Rhinolophus ferrumequinum: one gene and its partner. The protein of the gene in region 1 interacts with the protein of each later gene in a biochemical or structural test. Links are inferred from orthologs where the notes say so. Each region holds a gene or a part of one and is shown on either strand. Other genes may lie near its edges.

Region 1 (7,274 bases):
AGTAACTGAAGAGAAAAATGTGGGCAGCAGAGAGGAAGAGGAGCAGCCCTGAAGTGGGGCAATGGGGAGGTGGAGGAGGGAAACACTAGACAAACTATAAATATAGGGAACAGGGACCAAGGTGTCTACCAATAGATCAGTTTCCATAACCTCCTGTTTGTTTATTTCTTCATAGATCTGCCCTGTAGTTGTGCTGTAGGGCTTGTCATCATTGGAAGCAAGGAAAGGAGGATCAGTGCAGGCTGCTATGGGTGTAGAGACTTCCTCAGTAATCCTATAGGATGAGGTAGTCAAGTTCTGCTTGGGTCCATTAGGAATAAAGAGCAAGTCTAGGGATTCCTCAGTCTCTTTCACTCCCATCCAGTTTTCGCATTCTCCACACTCCTGTTTTGTGTCTGGAAAGAAGATAAGTAGCACCGCTGTTGTAAGGAATATAAAATTAAGGGAGAGATTGCTAATTATGTACTTCTTCCACTTAGCACTGAATTTCCATACTCTCTTGTCTCTCTGTGATAATCAAAATGAGGAAAAAAAATGGAAGAGACTCAAAGCCCCATTTCCTTCCTCTACCCCTAGGTCCAACTTCAGTGGCAGATCTGGTGGCCTTGAAGTGGCTGAAGATCACCGCCCTCCACAGGGCTGTGCTCAGGCACACAGCCATCCTTCCCTTCCCCGAGTGACCTTCCTCTGCACGTTGTTTATATCATTGGCAGAGCCTGTAGTTGGAAAGGGGGCTGAGTGACTACTGGACTTTGTATGAAAACACCAAACTGGAACAGACCTTGGGCCAAGACTGTGATGGGTGGGGTATATAAATTGACCTTGCTTTTAATTTGGTTCATTACTGGCTCCAAGGTTAAGGCAAGGGCAGAGGAGGGGCTGGAGCTGGCCTGAAAGCTGGAATCAGTGGCCCTGCCAACACTAGAACCAAGGCTAAGATCCAGACCAAGGCACTGGCTGAGGGAGAACTGAAAACAGGACCAGTGATCCAGGCCAATGCTTGGGATGTAGCAGTGACGAGGACACAAACAGTGACCTACACTGAGGCCATGGCTATGATAAGGGAAGTGAGCAAGATGGAAGCTAAGACTAAAACTAGAATCATGGCTGAAACTAAGGCAAAACCTCTGGCAGAACCTGGTATAGTGCCTCATAACAATTCAAAGGCCATCCCTACATCAAGGGTCAGTGCTGTGACCAAGTGTGAAGTCAAGGCTGATGCTGGAAGTGAAACCAATATCAGGTCCTTTGCCAAAGCTGATAATAAGGCCAGTATTGGATCTAGGCCCCAGAGAAGGAGAGAGGCCAGCATCAAGTTCCGTACTGGGGACAGAGCTGATATTACAATCGAGTCTAGTGATGAGAATGAAGAAAGTATCTGCTCCTGGTTTTGGACTGGAGAAGAGCCTAGTTTAGGGTCCTGGTTCTGGCCTGAGGAAGAGACCCCTTATCAAGTCTATAAGCCTCCACCTAAGATCCAGGAAAAGCCTGAGCCCACACCCAAACCCGAACTTACTATAAAGCAAAAAGCAGCAGCATGGTCAAGGGCCAGGTATAGTGTCCTAGTCCCAATAGAGGGAGAGGAGCAATCCTTGCCGCCAGAAGGGAATTGGACTCTGGTTGAGACCTTGATTGAAACTCCTCTGGGGATTCGGCCTCTGACCAAGATCCCACCCTATAATGGGCCTTACTTCCAGACCTTAGCTGAGATCAAAGAACAGGTTAGGTATAGGGAAAAGTATGGGCCCAATCCAAAAGCCTGCCGCTGCAAATCACGTGTCTTTAGTTTAGAACCTAAAGAGTTCGATAAATTAGTTGCCCTACTTAAGTTAACTAAGGATCCTTTCATTCACGAAATAGCTAAGATGATAATGGGAATCAGTCCTGCTTATCCATTTACCCAAGATATAATTCATGATGTAGGTATTACTGTCATGATTGAAAACTTGGTCAATAATCCCAACGTTAAAGAACACCCTAAAGCTTTAAATATGGTGGATGATAATTCTGAGTCTTCTGAAGAATCAAAAACAGGAGAGTCACACATACATCAGGTTTGTAAGGACATAATCACTTATCCTTTGAACTCCCCTGTGCAACTTGCTGGACTAAAATTATTAGAGCATTTGAGTGTGAAATTTGAGGATCACCATACAATTGCCAATTATATTCCAGATTTCCTCACCTTGTTAAACAAGGGAAGTGTCAAAACCAAGTTTTATGTTTTAAAAGTATTTTTGCGCTTGTCTAAAAATCAAGCCAATACAAGAGAACTGATCAGTGCCAAAGTACTGTCATCATTGGTTGCACCTTTTAATAAGAATGAGTCAAAGGCCAATATTCTTAATATCATTGAAATATTTGAGAATATAAATTTCCAATTCAAAAAGAAGGTGAAGCTATTTACCAAGGAAGAGTTCACTAAATCTGAGCTTATTTCCATATTCCAGGAAGCAAAAGAGTTTGGTCAGAAACTCCAAGACTTAGCAGAGCACAGTGATCCTGAGGTGAGAGATAAAGTTACACGATTAATACTCAAACTCTGAATAACCGAATGTTCTCACAAAGCCTTGAACAATTTTTGGTGTTGTAATATGAATCCAGTGCATATTGTAAGTTATTATATTTATGTCATCTGTGTTGATTGAAGGAGGCAATTTTATGGATACCAAATGGTCTTGAGAGCTTGAATATTTGTTGATTTTTATTGTGCTATATAAATTGAGATAATTTTAGTATTTTTGTAATAACATGACCTGATAATGAAACTACTCATCCTGAGTAAGCTATTCATTCTTCTGTGCTTTATATTGACATAAATGTATTCATTTGAGACTCCATTTACATGTTAATAAAGTTGCATGCTAAAACTGGTGAAAACAGTGTCCTAGTTCTTCAGTTGAAGTCTAATTCGAGGAATAAGCACAAACAACACAAAGATGACAAACAGCACTGTCTGTATGGAGTTATAAACAAAACAAGTTCACATTGACAGATCCTTTAGTTTCATGTTCAAAGAGTAGAATCACTCTGTTTACAAGAAGACATGACTATGCTACTAGTTGATATCTGGACAGATCTGGAGAAGGGGATGAAGACACAGTCTTGGGAAAAAGGGAACCCAGACACTTCCATTCCGATCTGAGTTCCAGAAGTTGTGCTCAGCCTTTCATATAGGATATCTCATCAGGATACCTTAAACTTGTTAACCCCCAAGAGGATTCCTGATTCTCACCCCCATTCAACAAAGCCACGTTAAGTGTGGTTCTAAAACAACCTAGCCTCACTATGCCCTCAACATCCAGCTACCCCATCTAGAAGTACCAGGTTTACTGCTTCATCTGAGGCTCCCTCCCCTGATAGTCCTGGGCCTCAGAGGAGGATCCTTCTGGAGACCAACTACAGAAACTGCTTCATGGATAGTCTCATTTGTCCTGCCTCAGTGACTTTACTCTCATCTTTGCTTTTATTTGCTGACCAATGCTTTGGCCTTGGTGATTTGCACCTGTCTTTGGTGGCAGCGCCTGTTTTTACCGACCCTTTTTGGTCAGAGTTCAGCTCTGGGAGACAGCCACAGGATACCAAAGTCCTTTAGCAGTGTGTGGTTAGGAAGAAATGAATTCCCCTAATCCTACTGTCCTGTCTACTTATTTGTACAGTTTACAGAGCTGAAGCTACATTGTCTATACCTCAGCTCCTCCTGTTTAGACTTCTGGCTGGGGGTTTGAGGCATAGAATGCCAGAGTATAGATTGGGATCTGGGGTCACCTCTGCCTCTTCCACCCTCTGCCTCTTTTACTGCCCAGAATTTGGAAATACATATATTAGGATCAGTGTACAAATACTGGACTTTCTATTGAACTTTCTCTTTTAACGTTTTATGTATAACACTTAGCATTTTATGTATACATATATTAGGATCAGTGTACAAATACTGGACTTTCTATTGAACTTTCTCTTTTAACGTTTTATATATTAGGGGGAAGGCCTAAACTGAAAAATCTCAAAAAGGTGTCATGTACCCCTAGTTTCAGCAGCTATCCCTAGTTTAATTTCTATTAAGGTTAGATCTGAACTTACATTTCATATATCTAGGAGTTAAAAATGAAGGACAACTAGCCACGCTTGTGCATTAAGGGTGAAAAAAAAGCAGATAAGCTTTTTGCAACATGCAGTTGCAACTTTGATGATTTTAAAAGTTCTTTATAACTTGTTTTTTTAATCCACAGAACTCCCATAGCCTGGAATTCTAGCTGTGGTTACTGCTTTCACAGTTGGGTGCCTTCAAAATACAATTGGACCAGACCCTTTGGAAATATTCTGTGTCTCAAATGCCCTGTGGAGCACACAACCAGTTGATGGCTACAGAATTTTCCATCAGCTAAAGAGAAGGGTGAGTGTGGGATATGCAGGTCTTTGTATCAAAACAAGAAACTGATGGTCTCTTCTTGGGTCAGAATTATGGGAGACAGAGTCATTTTCCAAATTGTTCCTGGGGTGTGTTTGAAGTCAAAACTTCATCTCTTGTTTCATCTCCTTTCTTGGAAAAATAACTCAGGCAAGCCCATTTAGTATCAAGGCTGATCCAGACATTACTTGTCTTAAAATGTTGCTACCTGGGGGTAAAAATCAGTGTGGGTTTCTCATCTTTCCTGCCATGAAGTAAAGCAAGTAATCTTCCAGCACAGCTGGACTATTAGCACCCACTGGCCTTTTACCATGCCCTTAATTTTAAAAGAGGAGCTTTCAGTGGGAATTCATCTATAAAATATCACCAAATTCCTGGCAAGGTTTTCAAAGCTCTGTATCCTTCAGCACCTTTCCATTTTTTTTCTCATTATATCCCACCAAGTAACCTATATTCAAGCAACACTGGACTATTTCTTGATTATTTCATGCACTTACATCCTTTTGTGCATTTTTTCATGCTGTTCACTCATGCTGTAATGCCTTTATAACCCTTTTCCTGCCTGTGGGAAACCTATTCATTATTTTAGGCTCAGCTCAATTGCCAGGTCCTTTCAAAGTCTTCCCTGACACCCTTATCCTCCCTGTCCCCATGTTAGAATTAATAGCTCCTTCTGCATTTCCAGAGTTTTTTTTATTTGTGCCTCTATTCTAGCATTTGTATCTTTATACCATGCCTTGGAGCCTTATGAGTAAGTTGGAGCTTGTGTTTAGGAACAGTGAGCGTAGAGGGGGAAGCTCGAGTTTGAGAGTGTCTGACTCCAATGCCTGAACGATTTATTATGTATAGTTACAATAATTACTAACATTTATACATTTATTGAATTGCTTCCTCTGTACCAGATACTATTCTATGTACTTTACTTGTATTAACTCATTTAATTGCTAAAACATTCCTATGGATTAGGTACCGTTATCCACATTTTACATGTGAGAAAGCTGAGAAACCAAGCTCATTGATTTGGTTAGTAGCAAAGCTGAGATTCAAACCTTTGCAGTTTGAATCTGGAGCTAGCATATATGAACACTTTGTAACTCTGTACCCCTACGCAGCATCTGGTAAAGTACATTGCCCATCCCAAACTTAAATTTGTGTGTTGTTAGACACACCTGTCCCTTATCTTTTCTGCTTCTTCCCTTTGTGTAGGCCACTTCCTTCTTTACCTCCATTCCCCACTCAACTAAGCATTCATGGTCCATCACTTTCAACATGCTTTTGAATTTTTTTTAACTGTGGTAAAATATGTATAATATAAAAGTTGTCATTTTAATGATTTTTAAGTGTACAATTCAGTGACGTTAATTGCATTGACAATGTTGTGCAGCCATCACTACTATCTATTTCAAAAACTTTCATCATCTGAAAGAGAAGCTGGGTAACCATTAAGCAATAACTCCCCATCCCCCCCTTCCTCCAACCCTCAGTAATCCCCAGTCTACTTTTTGTCTCTATGACTACTCGTATGTCTATTCTAAATATTTCTTATAAGTGGAATCGTACAATATTTATCCTTTTGTGTCTGGTTTATATCACTTAGCATAACATTTTCAAAGTTTATCCATGTTGTAAAGCATGTATCAGAACTTTATTCCTTTTAATGTCTGAGTAATATTCCATTGTGTGTTTGTGCACGCACGCGTGCACACACACATTTTGTTTACCCATTTATCTGCTGATGGACACTTGATTTAGTTCCACTTTTTTACTATTATGAATAATACTATAATGAACATTGATGTACAAGTATTTGTTCAAGTCCCTGCTTTCAATTCTTTGAATAAACCTAGAAGCAGAATTGCTGGGCCATATGGTAATTCTATGTTTAGCTTTTTGAGGAACTGCCAAACTGTTTTTTACAGAAGCTGTACCTTGTTATAGTTCTACCAGCAACATACAAAGGTTGCAGTTTGTCCACATCCTCGCCAATACTTATGTTCCATTTTTAATAGCTATCTTAGGTGTGAAGTGGTATCTCATCGTGATTTTGATTTGCATTTCCCTAATGACTGTGGTATTGAGCATTTTTTTCATATGCTTATTGGTCATTTACATACCTTCTTTGGAGTAATGTCTATTCAAGTTCTTTGCTGATTTTTTAATTGGGTTGTCTTCTGCTTGTTGCATTGTAGTGGTTCTTGATGTATTCTGGATACAAGTCATTTATCAGCTACATAATTTACAAATATTTTTTTCCTCTGTAGGTTTTTTTTTTAATGTTCATGATGTGTTTTGACACACAAAAGTTTTTGATTTTTATGATGTCCTATTTATCTATCTTTTTCTTTAGTTGCTTGTGCTTTTGGTGTCATATTTAAGAATCCATTGCCAAATCCAAGACCAGGAAGATTTGCCCCTGTTTTCTTCTAAGAGGTTTGTAGTTTTAACTTAGGTCTAGGTCATTGATCAATTTGGAGATAATTTTTGTATATGGTATGAGAAAAGGGTCTAACTTCATATTTTACATATAGGAATCCAGTTGTCTGAGCACCTTTTGTTGAATAGTCCATTCTTTCCCCATTAAATGGACTTGTCATCCTTGTCAAAATCAATTGGCCAGACATGTTGGTTTATTTCTAAACTCTCAATTCCATTGCATTCATTTCTATGAATATCTTTATACCAATACCACAGGGTTTTGATTACTATAGCTTTGTAGTAAGTTTAGAAATCAGGAACTGTATGTGCTCCAACTTTGTCTTTTTCAAGATTGTTTTTGTTAGTCTGAGTCCCTTTCAATTTTATATGAATTTTAGGATCAGCTTTTCCATTTATACAAAAAAAATGCCATTGGGATTTTCATAGGGAT
Region 2 (7,889 bases), on another chromosome or scaffold:
AGCAACATCGGGATGGGATGGTTTCCTAGGAATGCAGGACCTGGCTGTGCTTCCAGGAGGGGGACATACCCTAAGGGAACAGACAGATAATGGTGTCATGTAAACTGATCTGGGGGAGCAGGGAAGGAAGCGCTATCTCAGCTGAGATGAGACGGGCGGGCGCATAGGAGTGGGTTAGGTGACGAAGGGGAAGGGGAGCTAGCAGGAGCATGTTCCGGACAGAGGAACCATCATCACAGCAATCACTAGCGTATATTGAACACGGCCTATGTGCCAGGTGCTATAAAGCGGTACTGTTGTTGTCCCCATCTTATGAAACTTGCAGAAGAAGTCATGTGACCAGTAAGTGGTTGAGCTGGGATTTCAAATCCAACCAGTCTGAGACCAAAGCTTCCCTCTTAACCAACTAGATTAACCTGGAGGGGAGAGAAGCAGGTTATTTGGAGACCCACAAACAGTTTATTTTGGCTGGAACATAACATGCGAAGGGAAAGACGGTACAACAAGAGGCTGGTGAGGCTGAGGAAGGTGAAAGTGTGCAGATTCCTGCAGCCATGTTACTGCTTGAAGGCAGCAAGCCTGGTGCAGGGAGATCATTTCAGGGCTATTTCAGGAGTTTTAGCAAGAAATGGTGGTGCGTCTGACTGGAAGACAGTAGTAAGAATAAATAACAATGGCAGGATTTAAGGGTTGTCTGGGAAGAATGGACACAACTTGGTGATTGGTTGGAGGTGAGGGATTGGGGGAAAAAGAGGGGAGGCAAGAATGACTTTCAGGTTTCTGACTTGAGCAACTAGATGGCTGGTATCAACCTTATTTCTTTCCCCGATTTGCTGTGTATCCTTGGGGCTCTCACCCAGGCTCTCCAGCTGCCTGTCTTCCTAGCTATAAAATAAAGATAATGAAACTTGACCTCCCCATATATCCGAATGATGTCAATGTAAGATGAAGTCATCAGAGTGCTTCGAAAAGTCAAAAGTACTTTGCAAATGCAAGTGGTTATTATTTTATGGTTATTGCTAAGGTCCTCCCCATCCTGGGATTTGCAGATGGAGCCAGACTGAAAGGCAACCCAGGGGACCTTTCTGCTCCCTTGGAGGATGAGGAGTTGCTGTATTTTCCATCAAGCTGATCTGTCTCTTTGGCAGGTGGAAGCCACATTCCCACGTACTGAATTGTTAATAGCTTCCCCAGGGAGTTTCTTTCTGCTCCGACTCCTTCTGTGATTTCTGTTTCTCCACTGCTGACATCTTCTGATGCTCCGGTTGGCTCAGGATTTCCTGTGCATTTATGTTTTTGTTTTGTTCCCCTGAAGTCAAGGATGGAGACAAGACCCAGCAGAGTAGAACCGTTCCTTACCCCAGGTGCGTGGGGGGCTGTGTCTAATCTGTCCTCCACCAAGAGCAGGGACCGACTTGAGGGAAAACTCTGCCAGGCAGAGGGAGGAGCGATGGGTTCTTGTGTTTTATGGAGGCGACATTCTAGTTTCTGCTCTGAGAGGCAATGTAATGTGGTCATCATGAGACTGGCCTTTGGCGCCCCACAGATCGGGTTTGGCATCCTGGTTGTGGTTTGGGCAGGTAACCGAACCTCTGTAAAATGGAGCAACGATAGTAGGACCTCACACCTCTGGGGCTGCTGAGGATTGAAGAAGATCATCCACAAAGCACTTGGCCCAGTGCCTGGCACATAGCAAGTGCTCGACAAATGGCAGCCAACAAGATCATTTATGAGTTGTGACCACAGAAACGAGGCTGCCTTTTAAAGATGAATAGACGAGAATGCTCGCATCCAAGTAAGAACTGACCTCTTCAAAGTACTCACTTTGGGAGGCCATTGGGGAAACCCTTTTAGATGCCTTTCAAGTTTCCACCGTCCTTCCGATGTCCTCAATGGAGGCCATTCACGTGCACTTGGCTTGTGTGCTAGTCAGTTTGCGCTGCTGTAACAAAGTTCCATGACCCGGGTGGCTTATAAACAACAGAAACGTATGTCTTATAGTTCTGGAGGCTGGAAGTCCAAGATCAGGGTGCGGGGTGGTCAGGTCCTGGGGAAGGCCCTCTTCGGGATTGTAGCCTGCTGATTTCTTGCTGTGTCCTCACATGAGAGAGCAGACGGCAAGCAAACTCTTAAAAGGGGCAGTCCATAACTGCCTGCACGGTTTCTTAGCAATTATGGTATTTTGCTCATGTATTGGGTCAGTTACGTATCTTTCCAGCATCTTGACTGTGAGCTCCTCTAAGAGAGCAATGGTCTTACTCATCCTTATGGTTTAATAACATCTGCTCAGGCAGCCTTTGTCAGTTGGCAGAGAATCTGTTATTTCACCAGATCCTCACTCAATCCTTATAGATGAGGAAACTAAGTCTCAGAGAAGTGAAGGGAATCCTTTTTCTGTCTTTTGCCTCCACCATAGCTATGGTTTTCCACCATAGCAGTTCTGTCTCCAGGAGGGACTCAAAAAACCTTGTGGAATACAATTTAAAAACATACTCTTCAGCCCAGTGTGGCTTGAGAGTGAGAATGAGGTGTGGAGAGTGGATGGAGTCAGAAGACGGCAGCAATAAACCCTGGTTGGGACCAGACTGGGAGGGCCCCAAAGGCAACTCCAAGGAGTGAGAGTAGACTTGCTTGGTGACGGCCAAAAGCCAAGGGCTGGCCTGGAACTGGCATCTAGTATTTCAGGTCCAAGTAAGATGTGATTGCTGAATTTGTGCAAAGGGTTTCCATTGCTTAGAAGAATTCCTAGGTCCTCTAATAAGCTATGTCTGCTCTGACTCCCTCGCCGAATGGGATCTCACCCACGTTGGAACTGAACTCCCCATTCTATCACTCATCGAGCACCAGGGGCTGTACTAAGGTGGGGGTACATGAGTGCACAAGACCTATTGTAAAGGGGATGCACAAAACCCCAACGACTACATAAATAAATACGGGGGAAATTCTGTAAAGAGGAAGTATATGATGCTACAAGAACAAATAACACGAGGACCTTGTTTATTTGATAGGAGGCGGGAGGGGACAGTTAGTGAAGTGATATTTAAGCTGAAACGTGAAGGATAAATAGCACTTAGCCTGGGAAGTAGCTGAGACTTCCAAGTGGAATAAATAGAGTGTGCAAATGTCCTGATGTAGGAAAAAGAATTTGGCTTGTTGGAGGGGTAGGGAGGGGGCCAGAACTCCAATAAAGTAGCCCTTTTCTTTTCCTGCCCTAATTTCTTTCCTCTGGCACCAGAAAAGTCTCTGAGTACCAGGCCCTTTGGGACGGGGAGAGTTTTAGCAGCAAATGTGACCACAGAGCAAAAATCATCTGCCTGAAGAGTCCTTAGATGGTTGAGTGGAAAAGCCTTGGGGTGAGGAGTCTACTGTAGCTGGTAGAGAAGCTTGGACAGCAGCTGGGAGGGGCAAAGAGAATGGAGAGGAGGCTGAACTTGGGAATTCTGCTTTTGTTCTTTCTGGGAAAAGGTAAGAGGCTTGCATGTAGATGGATGACTCAAGCCAGAGAGTGATATGAGTGAGGGGGTTCTTGCCCAGACACTTTAGGGCCAAGAGCATTGTCCCAGAGCCTAGAGCTCGGGAACCCCAATGTGGTCCCATTCCATTCCCCGTTGGGACCTTTATTCATCCAACTAGTATTTCCTGAGCACCCACTCTGACCCCAGCTGTCCACTGGGTGCAGGGATCAATCAGGCCTGGTTCCCAAAAGAGGAAACAATTTCTCAGATAGAAATAATTGCCATATGGGATAATTCAGTGTCTAGCCTAGTCTTCTCATCTGTAAAATGGGGACACTAATAATAGAATCTACTCCAAAATGTTGATGCATGGATAAGGCACTTATCACAGTGCCTGGAACAGAGTAATGGCTGCAGAGCGAATGTTCCGGGGAGGACAGGAGCCCCAAGAAGGAGGATGGCTCTACTAGATCTGGGCTGGTCAGGTTAGGGAAAGAGTGTGGGAAGTTCTCCCCTCCCATCTGCTCCTACAGCAGCCACAGTGATCTTTAGGGTGGTCTTTGAGACCCTGCCCACCCTTCTCCGAACGCTGGCTCCCTGCCTTCTCTTCCTGGCCTCCTTTTAGTCCCTTTGACCACAGTGTCTTTGCACATATGGACCTGTGGTTCCTTTGGTTTCTTCCCTAAGTTAGTTCATCTCCAAACTTCACGTCTCACTTTCAATGTCATTTCCTCAGCGAAGCCGTCATGACCTCTGGGTTTTGTAGCCTTTGCCGCAGGAAAGCCTCGCTTCCTTCATTTCCTCAATTTGTAACTGTATCTTCATTAGTGTAATTTTAGAATTGGTGTCTCTCTCCTCCACTGGGCTATAAGCCCCAGGAAGTAGGAGCTGCATCTAGTGAATCCCCAATAGTACCTGGCTCTTATACTCAGCACCCCCAAAAAATCTGTTGAGTGAATGAATGGGGTGCAAAAACCCATGGATAATAATGGTTATTTATGGAGCACTTCCTCTGTGCCCGGCACTGAGCTAAGTTCTTCACTCACATCATCTGAGCTAATCACCCCAACAACCCTCTGAGGGAGGTGGTGTGATTATCCTCATTTCACAGATGAGGGTAATCAAGTTGAGAGAGGTTAAGTGATTTGCTCAAGGTCACTGCTCTTGAATGCAGGGACAGGAGGTGGGATTCACATCCTGGTCCTTTTGACTCCAAAGCAGCAAAGGGGTGTGGGGGGGGTGAGTCCGGCTGGGTGGGGTACACCCGAGCTCTTGAGGCATCTCTAGGGAGGGAGTGGGAAGCCTCCTTGGCCCAGCACCAAGCCGGTGGTGCAGAGCCCGCCCCTGGTCCCCAGCGTAGACTAGCGGCCGCCTCCGGGCCACGTGGTGCGCGCGGCGGGTGCGTCCGAGGAGCCCGCAGAGGTTCCAGGCTCAGAGCGCTCCGGGCGCTGAGAGCGGGCGGGCGGGCGCCAGGACAGGGCCGGTGCGGGCGGCGAGGTGGGCGAAAGAGGCGCGGAGGCAGCCGAGCGGTCCGGGCGCTGCAGCCAGCGTCTTCCAGGCGGCGGCTTCGACCCTTGGTGCGCCCATCATCCCAAGTCTCTGCGCCCAGGGCGCACGGTGGGGAAGGATACGGCTCCGGCTCCCCGGCCGCCATGGAGCCGGCCCCCTCCACCGACGCCGAGCTGCAGCCCCCACTCCTCGCTACCACTTCGGACGCCTTCCCCAGCGCCTTCCCCAGCGCGAGCGCCAATGCGTCGGGGCCGCCAGGTGCCCGCAGCGCCTCGTCCCTCGCTCTGGCCATCGCCATCACCACGCTCTATTCGGCTGTGTGCGCTGTGGGGCTGCTGGGCAACATGCTCGTCATGTTTGGCATCGTCCGGTGAGTCCGCTGTGGGCTGGCGCCGTGGGTCTGGGCCTGGGGTGAAGGTGGGCACTGTGGACTTGGGACCCTGACCTCGGACCCTTGACTCCCAGGGCCTCTATATTTCCTGCAGGGGGCGCATGGGGCCCAGCGGGGAGACCTCTTCCATTGAGAGGAAGACACCGGAATTTGTATCTGTGTGTGTGTGTGTGTAACTAAATAACATTTGATCAACTGTTGCATCCCCCTGCTTCTGCATCAGGCTGTGTGGGACAGTTTGGCAACAGTTTGCGTCTGTCACAGTTTGTGGGTGGGTGGTTCTGTTTGTGACAGTACAAATGCATTGTATGTTTGGATCTCTGAAACCTTGCTGGAGTGGGCAGAGATGCCCAAGGTGCCCTGGGCCTGCGGGGAGACAGCTGTGTGTGGGCTGTCTATGCAGGTGGGGGCACAGGAGAGAGAGAGAGAGAGAGAGAGAGAGAGAGAGAGAGAGAGAGAATTTGTACCATGCTGTGGGAGCACTTACCAAATCACATTTGGTGATCATCTGTTGATGTCCCTGTGTTGATGTGTGCTTGTCCCACACTGTCAGCTTGTGATTTCTCTCCGAATGAGAATGTGACAGTATGACTGTTGTTTCTTGTGAACCCCGGAAACCCCAGAGCATCCAGAGTGGCCTTGGACACTTGTGTCTGTGCACCTATGTGTGTTCGCAATAGAGAGCCCATAGTTCCTGGTACAGTGGGCAGCAGCTGTGGGTCAGCCAGTCAGTTCTCTGCACCTGGACCGTTGCCATCTGGTCAGGAGCTCTGGACCTTGTTTAGAAAGGCCTCACGTCTTCCTCACAAGTGCCCTTCCCATTTTCTCCTCCTCTCCTAACAGTCTTTTTTTTCCTTTTTTTTTTTTTTTTTTTTTTTTTTTTGTCAAAGGCAGCAGTGGTTTGTTTTTGGCTGGAGTTGGTGCTTTCACCTCAGGAAGTGAAGCTCTCTTCTTAGTATCTGTGGATCTTCACAGAATATAAAACATCGCCAGCTTACCCCAGAAGCAGCCCCCGGACCCAGTTCTACCAGTTCAGACATGGGCAAAGGGATTGAAAGGAAACTCCTATCCTTATGATAACAAAGAGGCCCTGGTATTTACCATTAGTTGGAAATGGGTCCTCCATGCTGGTTGGTCGAGGGCACAGCCCTAAACCTCTGGGCAGTGGTGCCACCAGGCAGGGCAGGTTGTGGATCCAGGTTGGAGACATGAATGTGGTCTCAGCCCAGTTACTGACGCTCATCAGAGTCAGGGCAACCATTCCCCCAGCCCCACCTCCCACCTGCCTCAGTTTCCCTGTCTGAAGGATAGCAACCTAATCTCGACTGAGAGATACGAATTCCAGAGTATGGGTTGCTGCAGGGCAGAGCATAGTGCACTGGAGTGCGGTACTGGATGAGGGTGCGTGGGTGTTGAGGGGGCTTTGGCGTAGAGATCTCTGAGGGATCTTTGCTCCCCCAGGAAGAGTGGAGGCCACAAGAATTTCCTGTGTTTTCAATGACTCATCACCAGCTACAGTGGGAACATTCCCCCAAGCACAGGCAGGATTGATCTTCGTTTTGCATTTTTGTTGGTGATTCTCCTTACTTTGCCTTCAGAGATTGTACAGGCTGTAGAATCAGGCCAACCTGTGTATGTATTAATCCCAGCTCTGCCACCAACTGGCTCTATGACTTGGGTAAGTCACTTAGCCTCTTTGAGCCTCACTTTCTTCTTCTACAGAATGGGGGTAATAACAGGACCTTCTTCTACAGGGTTTTTGTGAGGTGTTGATGAGAGAGCATATATAGTGCAGCTGGACCCAATAAATGGAAGCTGTCTGTGTGATAAAGAAGAGGAATTTTCTAGATCCTTCAGAATCCAGGGCCTATTAAAGAAGGGAGAGTAAGGGAGGCGCTTGTCTCAAGATGGGCCTGAGAGTGGCTACAGTTCTGCGAGTTCCAGGTTCCTGGTACATACTCATATGCCCTCTAGGGGAGCCCTAGCTACTCTAGTCTGGGGAAAGCTGACCATCAGTGTGTTCAATTCCACTTCCAGCCTCTTCCCAGGGCCTCTGGCTGGGGGGCTGATGAGCACAGCTCCCCCACTACCGTTGAGCCAGGGGAGAGCCTCTCACTTCTGAGGCTCCACTCAGGGAAGGTCCCTGGCTCAACATGCTAGGGGTGCTCCCAACCAACCTTCCCCAAATCACATTGTCAAAGGTATTCTGACAGCAGCGTAATGACCACCCATAGGTCCCCATGTTGCTAAGACATTTCCCGGGCCAACCATCTAAGTGATAACTGTATCTCTGTGTCTGAGTGATCTAGTCCTCACCTACCATCCTGTGGGGTAGGCATTAGAAGCCTCATCATTATCACCCCATTTTACAAATGAGGATCTGGGGTTCAGAGAGGGGCAGATTCTTAGGTTCTTGTTCTAAGGTCCAACAGCTAGACTAGACCCAGAGCTAGAACCCTGGTCTTGTGACTCTAAGTCCAAAACCTTTTCCAGAGCTGCCTGGGATAGGGGACAGAGAATTGTATGGAAGGATG

The links.
Region 2: the proteins of GPRASP1 (region 1) and OPRD1 form a complex in vitro, tested with the Homo sapiens proteins (2 studies listed by BioGRID and IntAct). The link is inferred for Rhinolophus ferrumequinum from reciprocal best matches to the Homo sapiens genes GPRASP1 and OPRD1.

Annotation. Positions count from the first base shown.
Region 1 is NC_046284.1:52,170,608-52,177,881, reverse strand, and holds the start of GPRASP1 (G-protein coupled receptor-associated sorting protein 1), read left to right. Parts: upstream 1-4,265; 5' UTR 4,266-4,393; intron 4,394-7,274. Other genes in the region: ARMCX5 (armadillo repeat-containing X-linked protein 5), read left to right, coding at 1,050-2,507, 4,230-4,253. UniProt on the Homo sapiens protein: Modulates lysosomal sorting and functional down-regulation of a variety of G-protein coupled receptors. Targets receptors for degradation in lysosomes via its interaction with BECN2.
Region 2 is NC_046292.1:19,764,681-19,772,569, forward strand, and holds the start of OPRD1 (delta-type opioid receptor), read left to right. Parts: upstream 1-4,875; 5' UTR 4,876-5,107; coding exon 5,108-5,334; intron 5,335-7,889. UniProt on the Homo sapiens protein: G-protein coupled receptor that functions as a receptor for endogenous enkephalins and for a subset of other opioids.